Callithrix jacchus: one gene and its partners. The main gene of each other region encodes a partner of the protein of the gene in region 4 in a complex. Links are inferred from orthologs where the notes say so. Each region holds a gene or a part of one and is shown on either strand. Other genes may lie near its edges. The genes, in order: TRPV3, PTEN, RPS6KA1 and SNTG1.

Region 1 (4,999 bases), on a different chromosome or scaffold from region 4:
GAGGACGGGAGTTTCAGGACTGCTGCTCCGGCCCGGAACCAATGGGCTGCCATTTCCCAGTTATGGAGAGACCCCAGCCTGGCTGTCGGGTTGGAACTCCGTGCCACGTCCCCAGCAGAGTGTGGCTGCTTCAGGCCCTTCTTTCCTTGTGTGAGGCGGCTGAAAAGTCTAGGCTTGGCTGGGAGCCTTGGTGAAGGCTGGACGGATCTCTTTCAGGGGCTGGAATAATGGCTGGGCCTCATGTTCTGGGGGACTGATCCTGGGGACCCAGCGTGTTCCGCAGCCTCACTTTCTCTGCCCTCTGCGAGGAGGCCGTGGCTCCCAGAAGCCGCAGGAGGACGCTGGGGGGGGGGGTGGCTATTGAGTAATCACAGCGGTGCCAGCCTCGGGGTACCCACCCCCGTCAGCTGCCCTGAGGGTCTTGGTCCTGTCCCAAGTGGCCAGGGCTGGGCCCCACAAGGGCCCTTTTTATTCTCCCGTGGGGGAGGAGGAGCTGGAAAAAGGCTTCAACAGAGGAGGGATTGTGTGGCTGCCTCCCCGCGACTTCTGCCCACCCTCAGGGCCACAGTTTGCCGAGGCTTTGAGGAGTCAGCTTGTGGTTGCAGATGGAGCTTTCTCCAAGGCCAGCTTCCCTGTGTGCCACTGTGGTGTGTGCTGTGCCTGCCGCCCCAGCCCAGGGAGGAGGCTTCCTGCATGAAGCATGGCCCCAGGAGCCCTTGTTCTCTAGGCTCACAGTGTGCCCGCTGTGGCCAGCCTGGGGGAGGCACCTGTCCGCTGCTCCCCTCCTCTGTTCCATGTCCTCCAGAAAACTTTTCTGGATGCTGCCCAGGTTGCCCACCGTCCTTGGGCTTTTACAGGCTGGGGTGCGGGACAGAGAGACTTGGCCTTATCCCTAGGAGCTCTCTGGCTGGGCTCTCATGACAGACGGGATGGAACCCCCTGGGTCAGCTGAGACCAGGCCTTGGACGCTGTCCTTCCCAGCAGTCCCTTCCTCTTGGGTCTTGAGTTGGTGCCCTAGGAAGCCCATGTCCCCATCCTGGGGTGACCCAGGGCTCACCTTTCAGGAGGTAAGAAGCCAGAGAGCAGCAGCTCTGCATCCAAAATCTGATCCCTGCACTTGGATTCACCCAGGAAGCTTTGAAAAATAGACTCCAGATCCCACCCTAGAGATTTCCAGTTCATTAACTGATGCTGTGGGGTTTTTTTTGTTTTTGTTTTTGTTTTTTTGAGACAGAGTCTTGCTCTGTTGCCAGGCTAGAGTGCAGTGGCTCGATCTCGGCTCACTGCAACCCCCGTCTCCTGGGTTCAGGTGATTCACCTGCCTCAGCCTTCCGGAGTAGCTGGGACTAAGGTGTGCACCACCATGCTCAGCTAATTTTTGTATTTTTAGTGGAGACGGGGTTTTGCCATGTTAGCCAGGATGGTCTCCATCTCTTGACCTTGTGATCCTCCTGCCTTGGCGTCCCAAAGTTCTGGGATTACAGGTATGAGCTGCTGCGTGTGGCTTTTTTTGAGACAGTCTCACTTCATCGCCCAGGCTGGAGTGAAGTGGTGTGATCTCGGCTCGCGGCAACCTCCGTCTCCCAGGTTCAAGTGATTCTCCTGCTTCAGCCTCCTGAGTCTGTGATTATAGGCATGCACCACCATGCCCAGTTTATTTTTATATTTTTGGTAGAGATGGGGTTTCATCATGTTGGCCAGGCTGGTCTCGAACTCCTGACCTCAAGTGACCCACCTGCCTCAGCCTCCCAAAGTGCTGGGATTGCAGGCGTGAGCTATGGGAATTTCTGTTTCCCAGTGACCCTAATACGGAGCAGAGTTTCGAAGATCACTAACCTACCAATGTCCCATGGGCCTCCCTGTAGGGGGTGGTGCCTATCGTCACCGCCCATCTGGCCAGAGTGGTGAGCCACAGCTGGAGGGGTCTTGGCTAAGGGTGGGCTGGGGGCAGCTGGGAAAACTTCTGGCTTCTTCTCAAGTCCAGAACAAATGGAAACTGGTTCTAAGAAATCATCAGCGCCTCCATTTTTCACTGAACCGGGGCTGCAGCTGGTGTGAGGATTTCGAGCTGATTGTGCAGCTTGCTGCAGCCTGCACAGAACCTTCACACCTTTTTCCCTGGTATTCACAACCTCCCATGAGATGGGCACAATGGCAAGCTTCATGCATGTTCCACAGATAAAGATGGGGCCCCGGGGCCACCGTGCCAGGCGCAAAGGCAGGTCTCCACCTGTCCTGGGCCCAGCCTGCCTCTGGCTGGCCCAGCCCTGCTAGCCACAGCCCCTGTTCTGCAGCTGACGGCTGTGCCTCATCCTGTCCTAGATCCTGAAGTACATCCTGAGTCGTGAAATCAAGGAGAAGCGGCTCCGAAGCCTGTCCAGGAAGTTCACGGACTGGGCGTACGGACCTGTGTCGTCCTCCCTGTACGACCTCACCAACGTGGACACCACCACAGACAACTCAGTGCTGGAAATCACTGTCTACAACACCAACATCGACGTGGGTCTCTCGGGAAGGCTGGGCAGGGCACCGAGGGCTGGGCCTCAGGCCAGGGGCTCACAGACGCTGGGAAGACCCAGTGCTCCCAGCCCTCCCCGCCATGTCTGCCTCCCACGCTCCTTTGCCTTAGTGGGCAGAGTCAGACACAGAAGGGGAGGCCTGGGACAGATGCTGGGCCCAACTCTTCCTGGTTGACCTTGGACTGTAGACCTGAGTGGTGGTGATTGGGGGGGTCTTCTGGACCCAGTATCCAGGGCGGTGTGGATGTGGGTGTGAGTGTGGGTGTGGGCGAAAGGGTGGTTGGGGCTGATCCTTTACATATTTTGTCTCTCCTATCCCCTGTTGCTGTATATGACCAGGCTTAGAATGCTTTCTCTCCCAAAAACTTGTCCCAAATGAGGGTCAGAGAGTGCACTGCTGGAGAAATCAGGGGGGCCTTCCTGGAGAAGGCTAGCAGGAAGAGTTTGGTGCAAATGAAGGTGAAGAGAGGAGCAGCTGGATGCTGCCCAGGTTGGCCACTGTCCTGGGGCTTTTATAGGGTTTATAGGCTGGGGTGCGGGATATAGAGACTTGGCCTTATCCCTAGGAGCTCTCTGCCTGGGCTCTCCTGACTGATGGGATGGGAATCCCCTGGGTCTGGTGAGACAGGCATCGGACACTGTCCTCCTGTGAACAGGAGCACCTGTCCACTCTAACAGGTGAAGCGTGTTCAGCTTTTGGGGGAAGCGGGGCAGCAAAACATTCCTCCTTCATGTTTTACCAAGAGTTGTGCTTCTCAGAGTCTCCTGGCCTTGGGTCTTCCCAGCGCCTCACAGCAGCCTGGCTGGCAGGACAGGGATTGTTCGCAGTTGTATAGGTGAGGAGTCTGAGGCCCAGAGAGGGTCAGGCTGTCCCGAGGTCACACAGCGAATGAGGGGCAAATTGGGGCTGGAACTGCTGTCACCACCTCCTGCCCACTTCTAGCCTTCACTTTCTGCTGTGCTTCGGGTCCTCCTGCTAAAACCCGGGCTCTGGCGGCCTTTGCTGCCCAAGCACCCTGGGGAGGAGCCTCAGGAGCCGTCATCACCCTCCCAGCATTTCCAGCCAAACCAGTCCACTGGGCGTAATCATGGCCCCTTCCCCCAGGGCGACGCTGACTGGGAGCTCCCACCGGCCTTTTGAACTCGGTGCCCCCTCCTCCCTCGCCTCCATGTGACTGCTGGCCTTCCCCCGCAGAACCGGCACGAGATGCTGACTCTGGAGCCGCTGCACACGCTGCTGCGAATGAAGTGGAAGAAGTTTGCCCAGTACATGTTCTTTCTGTCCTTCTGCTTCTACTTCTCCTACAACATCACCCTGACCCTCGTCTCATACTACCGACCCCGGGAGGAGGAGGTATGTGGGCCCCTTGCAGGGGGAAGAGTGGGTGGTCACAGCTGGAGCTGCCCCACGTGCAGACGGGGAAACTGAGCCCCAGGGAGGCCAGGGGATTTGGGTGGGCCCCCAGTCGTCCTTCACACTTTCTAGGGAACTGAGTTTGTCTCCAGTGTTTGGCTGGGCTAAGGCCCAGGTGCTGAGTCCCAGGTAGACCCATGTTGGGGGAAGTTGGAGAATTCAGAGACTCAGGCTCAGCCCAGGGTCTCTGTCTAAATACAGAACTGGTCGGGTATTTCTGCTGTGAGGGCTGCAGGAAATGGGAGGGGGCTAAGCACTCCCTGCCTGCTGGGCCTCGGTTTCCCATCCGTCACATGGGGCACGGAGCCTCGGCTTTATTAACTGTGCTGTGAGGCCATGTTGAGTGTTTGGATACAGAGGGTTCTGGAAAGGCTGTTGGAGTAGAGCATGAGGGTGCTTAGCACGGATTGGATGATACTCCTTGTTGTAGAGATCTGGGCTTCCATCAAGGGTGGGGAGGGTGGGGATCAGGGAGTGGCTCTTCCTTCTCTTGACCTGTACAGAGATGGGGTTTCACGCTGGCCTCTGACCTGGCTTGAGCGTTTTTCCTGTGTTTCGGCTGCTCTAGTGTTGGGGCCAGCTCAGCCCTTCTTCCTCCCTATTCTGACCACCCTTCCTCCTTCCTCCCAGGCCCTCCCGCACCCCTTGGCCCTGACCCACAAGATGGGGTGGCTGCAGCTCTTGGGGAGGATGTTTGTGCTCATCTGGGCCACGTGCATCTCTGTGAAAGAGGTGAGTGGCCACTCGGCCCTTCTGTACCGTCCCTTAAGGCGGGCAGGCGGCAGTGGGCCTGGGCTTCATCCCTGTCTGCTCTGCCATTACAGCTGGGGAGCTTTGGGGAGGCATTTCCTTCCCAAGCCTTAGCTCTCTGAGTTGGAACAAATGAATAAAGCTGGCCTATCCTCCCTACTCCATCCATCTACTTCTCTATCCATCTGCCCAACTCTCCACCATTTACCCTCCCAGCCCCTCAATGTCCATCCTCCTCTCCACCAGCATCACCCATCCAATCACCTGCTCTCTTTCGTGGAACAAGCCACTCATTCATTCGTTCACATGCCCACTC
Region 2 (4,999 bases), on a different chromosome or scaffold from region 4:
AAATGGAGCTTCTCAGCCAGGTGCGGTGGCTCACACCTGTAATCCCAGGACTTTGGGAGGCTGAGGCAGGAGGATTACCTGAGGTCAGGAGTTTGAGACCAGCCTGGCCAACAAGGTGCAAAATTCCATTTCTACTAAAAATAGAAAAATTAAGCTGTGCAGGTGGCTCACGCTTGTAATCCCAGCACTTTGGGAGGCCGAGGTGGGCGGATCACGAGGTCAGGAGATTGAGACCATCCTGGCTAACTAAACCCCATCTCTACTAAAAATACAAAAAATTAACTGGGCATGGTGGGGCATGCCTGTAATCCCAGCTACTTGGGAGGCTGAGGCAGGAGAATTGCTTGAACCCCGAGGTGGAGGTTGCAGTGAGCCAAGATTGCGCCGTTGCACTGCAACCAGGACAGTAAGAGTGAAACAACATCTCAAAAAAAAAAAAACCAAACAAACAATGGAGCCTCATGTTTGTATTGCTGTAGAGATAAACATGTATTTGCCGTGCATCATCAGGGAAGTTGCACTTACCTTCCAAGAACTTTTGTTAAGGTAAATCTTGGAATATTTAGCTCTTTTGAAATTCAGAAAAAATTAAATTCATATCTGAATTTTGTTTATATGTATGCACACATAAAACAAAACCATTTTTAAAGCTAGTATTAGATTAGAAAAGAGGTTTTTTGCTTAAAATTTTAAGACAAAAGTAATTTATCTTAGATTTTGCAAGATTATATTTTTGATTTAAAATTTGAGTGACAAAAAATCATGTAACAAAAATGCAACAGAAAACTCAGATTGCCATATAATAGTCTTAGTGTTTACCTTTTTTGAATATATCAAATGATAGTTTATTTTGTTGACTTGTTGGCAAATGTTTAATATGGGTAACATTTTTTTAAAGAGTAAAATATTAAAATAAATAATTTTCTTTCTCTTTTTTTTTTTTTTTTTAGGACAAAATGTTTCACTTTTGGGTAAATACATTCTTCATACCAGGACCAGAAGAAACCTCAGAAAAAGTAGAAAATGGAAGTCTATGTGATCAAGAAATTGATAGCATTTGCAGTATAGAACGTGCAGATAATGACAAGGAATATCTAGTACTTACTTTAACAAAAAATGATCTGGATAAAGCAAATAAAGACAAAGCCAACCGATACTTTTCTCCAAATTTTAAGGTCAGTTAATTAAACATTTTGTAGGGGTTGATGATTTGTGTATATGTGATATGTGTTTAATTCTAGGTGTACAGCTGATAAAGAACTTGCTTGACAAGTTCTTAAATTATGTATTATTTAGAAGCAGTGTTTATGTACCAGTAACATGAAAGTTTTTAATAAAATACCCGATGTACACAGAGTCAGAAAAGCTGCATTTTTCCTTTTCCCAATTCATTGTTGTTGTTTGGTGAAATCTGAAGCAAAGGTACAGGAGGGGGGTTAAATGACTGGGATATGAAGTAGGAATGGAAGAGGAAAGAAATGGATGGAAACTCAGTCATTTGGGAATGATTCATATGGAAGTTTTTACTGCTTCCACTCCTGTCTCCCTTCCAATTTATTCTCAACCCCTGAAAGTGGCCTTAAAAATAGGTTTAATTATGTCACTTCTGTTTTCACTTTATAAAGACCTTGGGTTTTTTGTTTTTTTTACCATGACCTACAAGGACCAGCATAATTTAGCACAGGCCTACCTCCTACATCAGCCCTAGTCACCTTCTCTCCTTGCTTCTTGAGATTCAGACATACTGGTCTCTCTTCAGTTCTGCAAAATGCTAACTTCTGCCTCTAATCTTTCCAGTTCTTTTCCTTCTCCCTGTACCTTTCTATCCCAGCCTTTTCCCTGTCCTTCACATAGCTGTCTTCATATTTCCAGCCTTAGCTTCAATCTCATATCTCTGATTGTCCTCCCCTGTTATGCTTCTTAAAAGATCCTATTTCCTTATTTTGTGTCTTAGAATTATTTGGTTTGTCTCATTTTTGTCTATATGTGATACGTATATTTGTACCTAGGTATATATATCTACTTATAGACAAGAATTCTTCAAATTGAAAAACTCTGATTTGTAAAACATTCCAAAATGGTTATTGGCCATTTTTTTCTTCTGCTTTCCTATTTCTTATTCTACCTGATTTCCCCCTGTCCATTCACCATACTCTTTTCTTTCTCTTTTTTACTCTCGCTCTTAATTTTTCACTCAGTTTTTATAATATGTAACAAATCTATAGCTTCTGAGTATTAAGAATATTGCTAGTAATATTTTGCCTATAATCCTAGCACTTTGTGAGGCTGAGGCGGGTGGATCACTTGAGGCCAAGAGTTTAAAAGGCCAGTATGGTGAAACCCTGTCTGTACTAAAAATACAAACCTTAGCTGGGTGTGTGTCCCACATCTGTAATCCCAGCTACTTGGGAGGCTGAGGCATGAGACTCGCTTAAGCCTGGGAGGCAGAGGTTGCAGCAAGCCGAGATCACGCTGGTGCACTTCAGCCTGGGTGACAGAGTGAGACTCTGTCTCCCCGCCAAAAAAAAAAAATTGCTAGTAATAGTAATACTTAAAAATCAGTAAAGGGGCCCCTACATGTTTTAAGTGAAAATAGATCTAATATTAAATGCCTTTAGCTCTTAAATTTAAGTGTTGAGAAGTTTCCCTTTTTAAAAAAATTTTAATATATAATAATTATACATATTTATGGGATACAGAGTGATATTTTCATGTATGCAGTGTGTGATGATCAAATCAGGGTAATTAGCATATGGATTACCTCAAACATTTGTTATTTTTTTGTGTTGGGAACATTCAAAATTCTATCTTCTAGCTATTTGAAAATAGACAATAAATTATTGTTGACTCGTTACAGTTCTGTAGAACACTATAATTTATTCCTCCTATCTGTAATTTTTAATCTTTTAACCAACATCTTCCTATCCTCCCCTCTCCCTCCCTTCCAAGCCTCTAATAACCACACTCCTATGAGCTCAACTTTTTGAGCTCCCATATGTGAGTGAGAACATGCAGTATTGATCTTTCTGTACCTGACTGATTTTACTTAACATCATTTCCTCCAGGAAAGACATTTTCTTTAAAATCTACAGGTTTCCTTTGTTTTCTCTAAATCTGCATTTTGCTTAACCATTAACCTTTAAACTATCTTTTCCTTCTAGTTTTATTGTTTTCTGTTTTAATATTGCAAGATTTTTATATTTGTGATTACAAATAAAAGCTCTGTTATTAGTAAACAAATACAATGTCATATTGTGGTAAGTGCTATAAAAATAGAGAGAATAATCTTGGTTTGTGTGTTTTTTGTTTTTTAGCTAGGATGATTAGAGAAGGCCCAACCAAGCACATAATATTTAAGCAGAGCCTAAATCATATGAGTGAGTTATGCAAATATCTGGGAAAAGAGGGAAGAGTAGAGATGCAAAAGCCTTTAGGCAAGGAGCTTGGTGTATTTGAAGAGTGGATAAGTCATTTTGACTAAAACAGAGTAGACAAGAAAACCAGTCCATGTGTAAAGATACTTGTGTGTGTTCAGCATAGGAAGGATATAATCTGAATTTTGCATTTAATACTCCCTGTGTTTATGCTTTCAAAATATAGATAAGTGAGGAAAGTAGGGAGAAGGGGTAATAATTAAAGCTGAGAGATAGTTGAGGCACTTGAATAGTTTAGTAAAGGTGAGAGATGATGTTTTCTTCTTGTTGCCCTTCACTGCTTAGAATAGTGGCAGTGAAAGGTAACAAGAAGCTGTCAGATTAACTAAAAGGGTTTACTGATGGAGTGGATGTTGGTTGTAAGAGAAGAATAATTGATAATGACTCTTGGATAATAGGGAGGGGCTGTCAATATAATACAATGAAGAAGGGATTTGAAGTCAGATCTGATTTACATCTCAAATCTACTACCTACTATTTATAGATATGTGGCCTTTAACAAGTTCCCTAACCTTTCTGGGCCTTAGCTACCTCTCCTTGAAAACGGAAATACCTAACATATAGGGTTATTTTGACAGTTATTTTCACTATGCATGTAAAGGCCCTTGGCTCTCTGTTTAGACCACGTTATGAGGTTACTGTCCCTCTCCTTCCTTCCTTTAGGTGAAGTTTTTAGGGCTCATAAATTCTAAATATCAGTGTTGATCAGTAGTTTGTGTGTGTGTAGTGTTTATATCAAAAAATACATTGAAGTCGGGCACAGTGGCTCACGCCTAAAATCCCAACACTTTGGGAGGCCAAGGTAGGCAAATCACCTGAACTAAGGAGTTTGAGACCAGCCTGGGTAACATGGTGAAACCCTGTCTCTCCAAAAAAATATATAAAAAGTAAACTAGCTGGGGGTGGTGGCATGTACCCATAGTCCCAGGTACTTGGAAGGCTGAGGTGGGGGGTCACTTGAGCCTGGGAGTTCGAGGCTGCAGTGAGCTGTGAAGGTGCCACTGCATTCTAGCCTGGGTGACAGAGCAAGACCCTGTCTCAAAAAAAACAAAAAGAAAAAGAAAGAGGAAAAGAAAAAAAAAGAAAAGGAAAGGAAGGAAGGAAAAGAAAAAAGAAGAGAGGGAAGGAAGGAATTGATTTTTAGGTAACTAGTAAGAGAAACATTCTTTTTGAACTTAGCCATTTGTGAATTGAATTTTATAATTGAAAGGCTATATTATGTAAACTATTGATAGCTTTCAATCTTCATTTATTTTGTAGAATTATTTAGTTAATGTTTGCAGCTTATATTCTTTAAAAAATAAATTGAGGCCAGGCATGGTGGCTCATACCTGTAATCGTAGCACTTTGGTGGTTGAGGCAGGTAGATTGCCTGAGCTCAGGAGGTTGAGGCCGGTATGGGCAATATGGTGAAACCCCATCTCTACTAAAATACAAAAAATTAGCTGGGTTTGGTGGTGCACACCTGTAGTCCCAGCTGTTCAGGAGGCTGAGGCACGAGAATTGCTTGAAGCCAGGAGGCAGAGGTTGCAGTGAGCCAAGATCATGCCACTACACTCCAGCCT
Region 3 (4,999 bases), on a different chromosome or scaffold from region 4:
TTCAGTGCTCAGAAACTGGGGCATGCCTAACTTCGCCCTGAAACAGCCCCCGGGACTCATCAGGGCTGAGCCCCACCCCAGAGGCCCCATCTTCCCCCAGCCCTGTCCAGGCCCAGTTCCCAGCTCAGTCTAGACAAGCCATCCGCTAATTTACTTCCCACAGAATTCAGGGAGCCCACCCACAGGCCCCCATGGAGGAAAGAGGGGCTCTGGAAGTTATCATCTTTTTTGTTTTTTGTTTTTGGAGATGGAGTCTCACTCTGTAGCCCAGGCTGGAGTACAAGTGGCGCAATCTCAGCTCACCGCAACCTCCACCTCCCGGGTCCCAGTTCAAGCAATTATCTTGCCTCAGCCTCATGAGTAGCTGGGATTACAGGCATGTGCCACCTGTAATGCCCAGGTAATTTTTGTATTTTTAGTAGAGACGGGGTTTCACCATGTTGGCCAGGCTGGTCTTAAACTCCTAACCTTGTGATCCGCCTGCCTCAGCCTCCTAAAGTGCTGGGATTACAGGCGGGAGCCACTGCGCCCATCCTGGAAGGTGTAATATTTAATCCAGAGGAGTGTCTCATTAGTGAGGGAATCTGAGGCAGGGACAGGGTAATATTCTGACCCCGACTGGGCCGCTTGGGAGAGTCTATTGTTGTTTGTTTTTTTTTTGAAACAGAGTTTCACTCGTTACCCAGGCTGGAGTGCAATGGCCCGATCTCGACTCACCGCAACCTCCACCTCCTGGGCTCAAGCAATTCTCTTGCCTCAGCCTCCCGAGTAGCTGGGACTACAGACGTGTACCACCATGCCCAGCTAATTTTTGTATTTTTAGTAGAGACAGGGTTTCACCATGTTGACCAGGATGGTCTCGATCTCTTGACCTCGTGATCCACCCGCCTGCAGCCTCCCAAAGTGCTGGGATTATAGGCGTGAGCCACTGCGCCCGGCCAGGAGAGTCCATTGTTATCAGGGCAGGGCTGGGGCTTACTTCAGAATCAATGTCATGGTCTCCTTCCGGTCCTTCCCCTGGAAGGGCAGGGAGCCCGTCAGCATCTCAAACTGCAGAGGACAAGGGTCTATTTAGGCGCTGATCCCTGACTCCCCCACACCTCCCACCTCCTCCCATCTAGGCCCCTCTGCCCTAGTCCCAGGATCATCCAAGTCCACCTGGAGCAAGAATTATGTCTGTCCCTCTTGCCTCAACAACCAGACCACCAGGTAGGTGCAGCAGTGGGGGCACGAGGCTGGGGAGAAGCCCAGCACTGAGTTAGGCGTGTCCCAGATGGGGTCAAGCCTGGGATCCTTCCAAGAAAGAAAACTGCAGCTGCGTGTAGGGTGAGGCCAGCATGGCTGTGAGAGGAGACGAGGAAAGCCCTAGAGATGATCAACCCCCTCACTGTACAGACGGGGAGACTGAGGCCAGAGGCTTGGGTGGGATCCTTTATCCCTGTCTGGGCACTCACCATCAATACCCCATAGGACCACCAATCCGCACTGTGGGAGTGGCCCTGGCGGTTGACGACCTCGGGGGCCATGTACTCCACTGTCCCGCAGAAGGAGTAGGCCTTCTTCTCGTGGTCAATGGCCTCCTTGCTCAGGCCAAAGTCTACAGCAAGGAGGGCAGGAGGACACATCTCAGGATCCCTGCCTTCCTTGCTGACACCCATTGCACACCCAACCCCTGTGCCCAGAGGCTGGAAGGCATAACCCTCATGACACTCAGGAGGAAGCTAAGGCCCTGAGAGGTCAGGTGACTTCCCCAACGTTACACAATGAGGGGCTGAGATTCCAACCGAGGGTGTTCCAAGTCTGAGGCCTGGGTTTCTGACCACTTCCAAGTAACTGGCACAGCCTCTCGGGAAGAATGAGCCCCCAGCACTCAGCCCAGACCTATCAGGACCTTGTTCTGCCCTCCCCTGGGGCCCAAAAGGGCAGGCGTCCTCCACTCACCAGTGAGTTTGATGTGACCCTCCTCATCCAGAAGGATGCTGTAATAGAGGAATGGGGGTCAGGGCCCCTCAGCTGTGGCCACTGTGTGGGTGGTGGTGTCACCACAGGGCTGTGGGAGCTGGGCTCAGCCCAGAGGAGCTGCTCCGCCCAGTTCTCCCCGATGACCGGGTGGGTGTTGCAGGGTGATGGCAGTGTCATGCAGGTATGTTGCCTATCATTTTTGCTAATTCTTGAAACAACTGTGTGAGGTAGGTACTATTAGGGCTCCATTTTGCAAATGAGGAAACTAGGGCTCAGGGCAGTTAAGTAGCTCTACAGTCATGGAGCTGGTAAGTCTAGCTAGTAGGTGGAGACAGGATTTGAATACAGGGCTGCCTAACACTAAAGCCAGATCTTATTCCCCAACTCACCACCTGCCCCTGGCTCCTTAGTTATCATTTAACTATATATATATACAGACACACACACTTTTTTTTTTGAGACAGAGTTTCACTCTTGTTGTCCAGGCTGGAGTGCAATGGCACAATCTCAGCTCACCACAACCTCCACCTCCCAGGTTCAAGTGATTCTCCTGCCTTAGCCTCCCGTGTAGCTGGGATTATAGGCATGTGCCACCACGCCTAGCTAATTTTATATTTTTTGTAGAGACAGGGTTTCTCCATGTTGGTCAGGCTGGTCTCAAACTCCTGACCTCAGCTGATCTGCCTGCCTCAGCCTCCCAAAGTGCTGGGATTACAGGCATGAGCCACTGCACCTGGCCAAGGATAGTTAGCTATTAGGGAAAATTCTAGAGGGTTATATCAAGGAAAGACCTTTAAAGGTAGCAGCATCTCAGATGTCACACTAAATTAGCAAAAAAGGTGGGAAACATACCTGCTTGGAATGTACCTGGCCCTTGGTAATGATAGCATTAGTGACTGGGCAGCTGCCACTACCACCCACCCCACTCACCCATTCCTCAGATTGCCCAAGAGAGGGGGACGTTCCTGGAGAAAGCCATGTCCACCCACCTCAGGATGGCCCTGTTCTAGAAGAGGCCTCCCCTGGGGAGACTGGGTGGGGATGGAGGCTTCACTCACTTCTCAGGCTTGAGGTCTCTGTAAATGATACCCAGGCTGTGCAGGTGGTCCAGGCCCAGGGCCAGCTCGGCCAGGTAAAACTTCACATCCTCTTCTGTGAACATCACCTGCAACAGACAGGAGGGGGCTTCAGCAGAGACCTCCTTTTCCTTAAAAGCTGGGCACTGGGTAGTCAGCAGCTTCCTGGTCCTGAGGGGCCACCCTGGGAGGACCCAGGCCATTTAGCCTTCTTGTCGCAAGAGGATTTGAAATATGAAATGACTAAGCTGCAAGTCACTCATTGTGGCATTGTTCAGAAATAGAAAGGGCTGGAAAAGCGGGAATAAGCTGTCTCTCCTGCATAATGGAGTGCTTTGCAGCCATTACCTAGAACAAAGATTTTCTCCATGTCCTGATATGGAGCGAGCTCCAAGATATACTATCTTGAAAAAAATCAAGGTACAGAACAATGTATATAGAATAGTACTTTTTACGTAAGAAAGTGGGGGTAGGAATTCAGAACATATATCGAATTTGTTTGCAAAAGAAACATGGGAAGGTTAAACAAGAAACCAATAAAAAGCTCAGCACAGTGGCTCACACCTGTAATCCCAGCACTTTGGGAGGCCAAGGCGGGTGGATCACCTGAGGTCAGTTCGAGACCGGCCTGACCAACATGGAGAAACCCTGTCTCTATTAAAAAAAAAAAAAAGAAACCAATAAAAAAAATGTTTACCTATGGATGAGGATAGAGGGGCTGGGGTGGGAGGAAGACTTCTTCATGAATATTTTTTTATTTTGAATCATATAGATTACCTATTCACACATTAAAATAACAATTTAAAACTTTTTTAAAAGTTGGGTTCTCTTCAAAGTCTGAATTGTATGAATGGTCTCATTTTCTAGCTCAAATCCTTTTCTACTGGTTCAAAATCCTTTTGGATGACATGTGGGACATGACTGCTAGAGTCTCTGGCTCTCTGGGTGACTTTGGGCTTCTCCTCAATCTTCACAGCTCTGTCCAGAGCAGCCCTGGAAGAATGCACGTGCTTAGGTGAGAGGAAACCTTAGCTCCCCAGAGTTTTGTTGGGAGAAACTCTCAGTGGCCCTGCCAGCATATGGCCTCCATCCCAGGGTGAGTGGTATTTCCTAGGCCAGGGGCTGCTAGGCAGGCCTGGGTGGTTCCAGGTTCAGGCCATATTGAACACATTCTGTACAGGGCCCTGGATGGGCCTTGTCGTTCCCCAGCTCTATCCCGGGGCTCTTTGGCAGTAGATGTCAGCTCACCTCTTTTGAGAGCCGTGTGAAGAGGTCCCCACCACGCAAGAAGTCCAGAATGAGATAAAGCTTGCCCTCGGTCTGGAAGGCTGGGGAGAGGGAAAAAGGCAATGGTAGAGTCAGTGGGACCTTGTGACCTGCTCCTCCAGCCCGGTCTCCCTTGGCCTGCCAGGCAGGCGGTGGGACAGTGTACAGACCCACAGGCAAGGGTGAAGGATGAGTGGGATGGGGCCTGCAGCTTTACCATAGTGCAGCTTCACCACAAATGGGTGGTTTACATCAGCCAGGATGTCTCTCTCCATCTTGGTCCGAACGCGGTCACGTACTGAATAGACAAGAAAGGAAGTCACCAGGAAGCTAGACACTCAACACAGCCACTCCCAAGTCCCTACTAAGGGCTCTCTTTTCCACTTGTTCCTCCACATCTGAGCTCCTAAGGCCCCTTCACTCAGGGCTTTGGGGACACTCAATCCTCAGGTTTCTTCCTTCCTTCCCAGGAGCCAGGTAGGCTCTTTGCCCCCACCCCTCACAGCAGTGCCCACAGCTGGGGCCTTGGAGCCCGGCCCATTGCTCTGGTCCCTTCTCCCACCACTCCCCATCAAGGGCTGTTAATCAGCCAGTCTGAGCAACCTGCTCCTCTGGGTGCCCTGTTTTTTCAGATCCTCAGACTTTGCCTCTGCACCTCGTCCTGGCATGTCTTCACCAGCCCCGCTCTCCATGTG
Region 4 (4,999 bases):
TACACAAAAAATGGGCCAGCGTGAGATTAAGAGCAAAACAACAAAACTTTGCTTTTATCTTTATCTTTTCTACATTTTCTAATTCCAGGTCTTACCGAAATCTTTGTTTTTTTTTGCATTTTATTGAGAAAAAAAAAGAATTAAAAAATAGTGGTAACAACTGACATTTAAATTCAAGCTACTTTCAACCAAACTTTCTTAACTTTCTTCTTCCTCGGTGAACTCCTGCAGAGCTTGTCCCTCTTCCCTCACCCATGGCGGGACTACAGAGTCTGCTTGCTAGTTATTTAAGCAGATAGCTGAGTGCCAGTGCATGTCTGTGCATCTGCATTTTCTTTTCTGTGTCTAGTTTTTTCTTTCTCTTTAATTTGTCTTTATCTCGTCTCTTCTTTCATTCCATAAATCATTTGCTTTGTGAGCTACTTATGAACCCAGAGGCACTATTCCCTGAAGAAAAGCCATTCAAATACTGACTCATTACTGACCATACCTTGAGGATCTTGCACATAATCTCATAAACTGAGAATGTTTTCTCTGCTCTTGTCCAGTCCCAGGTGGTTACCTTAAGAGATAAGAAAATAATGTGTAATTTGTTTGAGAAAGTTATTTACCACTCTATTTGATTTGCATACATATGGTGAAAAATAAGCAAAACTTTCAGAGATGTGTCTATTTAGTCTCTCATCTGTGAAGCTATGTTCATAAAGGACCCTACATAATACTCTTGTTTCCTCTATTCCAAGGTTTGTCACCGTTTGTCTCATGCTTTCAGCAAACCATTTATGTGCAACAGTTCTCATTTGCCCAGTGTCCTTAGGAATCTCAAATAATGTATATATTCTCTACCTATAAATACTAAATATTTACATTCCACAAACAAATAATTTTTTTTCTCTATTTACCAGTTAAATACAGAGAATACTAGAGCTCAACACAGCTCTATTTTTTTAAATATACGTAATTTATATTAAGAAATTCAGGATGACTGTGACATTGCAAACACACTGAATGCGCAATGCAGTTATTTCACTCACTCAGGTTAGAAACATAGATTTACTTGTCTTGTCAAAGAAATTATTCGGAGTAGGAATAGACTAAAATACATAAATATTAATTTTTCCCAGTCGTCCTAGTGCTTTAAACTCTGTGTAGACACAGACATTTAAAACAGCAGCAAGTCAGACCTGATGATTTCTAAATCCTATGTATCATTAAACCCGCAAGAGACTGGTCTGCCATGTGCTATTTATATTCAATAAATATTTATTGAGTGTTTTCTGAGCTGCAAAGAACCTGTTTCCCAAAGCAAGACTTGAGGTCCAGTAGGTATCTATACATATTTAATACAATCTCAGTAACTCTAACATAGAGTATAACAGAAGATAAAAGTGCTATTGATTTTACCTAGAGAGACCTGTACAACATAGATAAATATAGTCTGACTGTCATAAATGATAGCTTACCAGAATGTATTTGTGATGTTTGCCAAGTGTGGAATCCCCTATTTTAAACGAACAACCTGAGAGTTAACATCATCTTATGGAATTACCACTAGAGTGAGATTTAATAACAGCTAGACAAGATGCTATCATTTTGAGATATCCTATTATTCTTTGCTAATAATAAATTACTAGTAATTTAAAGTACTGAATACATTTTTAAACACTTTCGAAAGATCCTTTGAAAATAAGTTTAGTAAACATGTTCATTCACGTAGAGCTCTAAAACAGTTTACTCTTTTTTATTCCACTTCTGATATATTAATTTCTTTAGCTTCTATTCAATGAACAAAATACACTGACATATGCTTGAAAATGCTTCTTAAAATCTCCTTTCCCATGTCTTCATGGGATTTTTAACAGCATTTCAATTTGATCCATTATTTTATAGGTTCACCAATTATAAATAACTAATTTCCAGACTTTCCCAGGGTGATAAAGCAAATGTTTAATGTCAGAAAATATATTTTTAGTAAATTAAATCAGATAAACTGGTTTCTATTTTTTCTCTATCATATTTTTAAAAATATTGATAGTATACTATTGGATGTTGTTACGTTGGTGTCAGTCTGTTGTGATAATATGGAAAAGACCAGTACATTTCGATAAAACGCTTACTGGAGGTGCCAGAAACTTGTACAGACACGAGCCCCGTAGGGCCAGGAAGGTCGGGGAATACACTCTGTCCTGAAGGGGGTCTTGCTCCCGGGCCTCACACCAGCCCATGTAGACAATCTGCAAGAAAATGGAATACAATTGACTGTCAAAAACTTTTTATTTTAGATATTTTATGTCTAAAAGATATTTAGATATAAATATCAAAAATACTTTAGATATTTTTCATGCAGTATTATAACCTCACATGAAATTATCACATTGATAGATGCAATAAAGTACATTAAACAAGATTTATCTTCAGTAAATGAATGTAAATCACTCATGAGAATTTCTTATCTGTTTCCATCAGCATTTATCCAGGGTTTATTTATACCATCCAACCTACCATGGATTGTATTTCCCACTCTACCAATTCTTACAGAAAAAGGTTTATTTGTAATAGAATTCATTGATGGATCCCACCTGTTTACCCATCACTGACATTTTATTAACTGGGAATCTGCTTCAATACACAATGTTAAAGTGAGCAAGGGAAGCAGGTCAGAGAGACATCTGTGGCATTACCACGAGGGAGGTGCCGCACTTCTCCACTGTGCCTGCCAGGCGAGAATTACAACTGTCCCCCTTTAACCCCTGATTTCCCATGAATACAATTTATGCTAGTCTATTCCTATATTGAGTGGCATTAAAACTAACTCCTTAGCCGCTAGCACTTAAATCTAGGTGGATCGATTTCCAGATGAAGATTTTGTGAGATAAGCCACTCCTCTGTTTATGATCTGATTTTTGTAAGAGTCAAACATATACATAAACACTTAATAAATCATTAATGACATTTCTAACAACATATTCATGTGGCATTCCATTTCTTTCTCATCACAGCTCTATGTGCAAGGCTGTATGCCCCACTTTATATGATTTATATTGGCTTTATGGTTGGCAGAGGTAATTGCCCGCCCTAAACATTTTTTTCTTTTTGTTTTTTGTCTCCTAAGACCTTCTATCATCAATAGAATGTTAATGAACATGATACAAATTGAGTTAGTTTAGTGTCTCATGCTTTTGCCATTACCATGAAAAGCTCATACCTAGGATAGGAACAACACAGCAGACCAGAGCCCAGCTTAACAGCAGGACCAAGCCCAGCTAGCTTCATGCTGGTGGCTAACCACAAACAGTTCACTTTCAGAGAGAAAGAAATACTTATTGTTGTATTTCAGCTAGAATGGGGGTGGGTTGTTGTCCAGCATTAATGTGGTAACAACTGGCAGATAACAATGCAAGAATTTGACATGCAAGTTTTGGAATATTACTATTGTCTATTCACAGATCCCATCTTCTTTCTATAAATTATATTTACCCTCTAAAATACTTAGACTGTTCACCATCTCATTATCTCAGTTTGTCTTACAATAAGGCTCTGAGCTATAAAGTCCTTGAATTAATATATTAAGGGATTGTGAGTTAAATTAATTAGCTTAACAAATGAATGAAACTTGGTACAAGTTAGAATTTGAATTTGAACCAAGATGGCTTGCTCTTCTAATTATCTAATGTATTCTGTAATCTTTTAGATTGCTGACATATGCATTACACAGAGACTTCATGGTTAATAATAACATAATAAGAACCAGCTATAATAACTGATGATTTTGTATTGCGTATATGATCAGATAACATGACAGTTTTGAAAGAGTAAATGAGTGTAATAGATAACCATCCCATAAAGAGAAGGATGACTTGCTTTAATAAATATTCAATGTGTCAAAATAATTACACGAGTTAAAAATGAAAGCATATGACAGTTTACCCTTCCAGCACTTGCATACTAGAGAATATCGACAACCTACCATCTAGTGTTACCTTAGGAAACTGGAAAAAATATGCTTAACGCACTAGATATTTTATAGGGTATTAAAGAACAACCAGGAAAAAATTACAGTAATATGAAAATTGACAGAGGTTAATCATTGATACAAATGTGGGATCGGTTTTTGCCGTGTAACCACTTCCTATACAGAAATGTCACATGAGGCACTCAGCTACACTGGGGAATCTTACAGGTTTGGAACAAAATATTAAAGTCCAGGATTCTCCACGTGTGAAGGTCTTAGTAAACATGCTCTGCTTTTAGTTAGGACCAGAATAATAACGTCCTAATAACAAAGTTAAAGCAGAAGTCATCAAGCCCTTGCAAAGACTGGAGCTCAGATTTGAGCCACTGAAATGATGCAGAGAATGTCAGGCTTGAAATGGTTTATGATGATCCTGGAGTTCTCTCTGGCTCCTGACTAAAGAAAATGGAAATCCTTTCTGGATGACAATAATATTACATGTGTCAATAGATTTTCATAAGAATCGTCTCTTGGAACAGAATAAAAATAACCAAGGATATAAGGAAATAAAACTTCATAAAGTTCATCAGGAGAAAACCATGAATAAAAACAACAGACAGCAGAACTGAATATTTAGGCCTTTCAGATATGGAAATTTTCTAATACAGACATTAATTTAACTAGGTTTGCTATGTATAAGAACAAAAGATACAAGATTGAAACTTTCATCAGTGTACATCTGAGATAATAGATTATAAAGCATTCCCATTAGAAATTAGACAAATATATATAAAACATACAGTTGGGTTTAACAACATATTTAAAAAACAGCTAAAGAAATAATTAGTGAATAGAAAGATGGCTCAGTAAAAAATATCTAGAATAATGATTGGAGAGACAAAATTTGGGAAAACATACACGAGAATAAGAGAAAAAGGTGTTACAGTGAGAGACATAAACTTCCAGGTTGAGTCCCAACCCAAGCACAGAAAAGAAAGAGAATGAACAGAAGCTGTATATAAAGGATGATGGCAAAGAATTTTCCCA

What was found.
Region 1: the proteins of SNTG1 (region 4) and TRPV3 are in contact, whole or in part, in a crystal structure (PDB 7QQN), measured with the Homo sapiens proteins. The link is inferred for Callithrix jacchus from reciprocal best matches to the Homo sapiens genes SNTG1 and TRPV3. Residues at the interface, in NP_001274742.1 of Homo sapiens: Arg62, Gly66, Gly67, Phe68, Gly69, Leu70, Ser71, Ile72, Lys73, Gly74, His78, Ser85, Lys86, His118, Glu119, Val122, Arg126; in NP_659505.1 of Homo sapiens: Pro786, Glu787, Thr788, Ser789, Val790.
Region 2: the proteins of SNTG1 (region 4) and PTEN are in contact, whole or in part, in a crystal structure (PDB 7PC7), measured with the Homo sapiens proteins. The link is inferred for Callithrix jacchus from reciprocal best matches to the Homo sapiens genes SNTG1 and PTEN. Residues at the interface, in NP_001274742.1 of Homo sapiens: Gly67, Phe68, Gly69, Leu70, Ser71, Ile72, Lys73, Gly74, Glu77, His78, Ser85, Lys86, Ile87, Ser88, His118, Val122, Leu125, Arg126; in NP_000305.3 of Homo sapiens: Asp395, Gln396, His397, Thr398, Gln399, Ile400, Thr401, Lys402, Val403.
Region 3: the proteins of SNTG1 (region 4) and RPS6KA1 are in contact, whole or in part, in a crystal structure (PDB 7PC8), measured with the Homo sapiens proteins. The link is inferred for Callithrix jacchus from reciprocal best matches to the Homo sapiens genes SNTG1 and RPS6KA1. Residues at the interface, in NP_001274742.1 of Homo sapiens: Gly67, Phe68, Gly69, Leu70, Ser71, Ile72, Lys73, Gly74, His78, Ile80, Ser85, His118, Glu119, Val122, Leu125, Arg126, Arg141; in NP_002944.2 of Homo sapiens: Arg728, Lys729, Leu730, Pro731, Thr733, Thr734, Leu735.

Annotation. Positions count from the first base shown.
Region 1 is NC_133506.1:67,079,197-67,084,195, reverse strand, and holds part of TRPV3 (transient receptor potential cation channel subfamily V member 3), read left to right. Parts: intron 1-2,322; coding exon 2,323-2,499; intron 2,500-3,714; coding exon 3,715-3,873; intron 3,874-4,563; coding exon 4,564-4,665; intron 4,666-4,999. UniProt on the Homo sapiens protein: Non-selective calcium permeant cation channel. It is activated by innocuous (warm) temperatures and shows an increased response at noxious temperatures greater than 39 degrees Celsius. Activation exhibits an outward rectification.
Region 2 is NC_133513.1:80,555,143-80,560,141, forward strand, and holds part of PTEN (phosphatidylinositol 3,4,5-trisphosphate 3-phosphatase and dual-specificity protein phosphatase PTEN), read left to right. Parts: intron 1-950; coding exon 951-1,175; intron 1,176-4,999. UniProt on the Homo sapiens protein: Dual-specificity protein phosphatase, dephosphorylating tyrosine-, serine- and threonine-phosphorylated proteins.
Region 3 is NC_133508.1:63,199,672-63,204,670, reverse strand, and holds part of RPS6KA1 (ribosomal protein S6 kinase alpha-1), read right to left. Parts: intron 4,603-4,999; coding exon 4,522-4,602; intron 4,367-4,521; coding exon 4,287-4,366; intron 3,128-4,286; coding exon 3,021-3,127; intron 1,980-3,020; coding exon 1,942-1,979; intron 1,598-1,941; coding exon 1,455-1,597; intron 1,051-1,454; coding exon 980-1,050; intron 38-979; coding exon 1-37. UniProt on the Homo sapiens protein: Serine/threonine-protein kinase that acts downstream of ERK (MAPK1/ERK2 and MAPK3/ERK1) signaling and mediates mitogenic and stress-induced activation of the transcription factors CREB1, ETV1/ER81 and NR4A1/NUR77, regulates translation through RPS6 and EIF4B phosphorylation, and mediates cellular proliferation, survival, and differentiation by modulating mTOR signaling and repressing pro-apoptotic function of BAD and DAPK1.
Region 4 is NC_133517.1:3,934,249-3,939,247, forward strand, and holds part of SNTG1 (gamma-1-syntrophin), read right to left. Parts: intron 2,235-4,999; coding exon 2,118-2,234; intron 563-2,117; coding exon 491-562; intron 1-490. UniProt on the Homo sapiens protein: Adapter protein that binds to and probably organizes the subcellular localization of a variety of proteins. May link various receptors to the actin cytoskeleton and the dystrophin glycoprotein complex.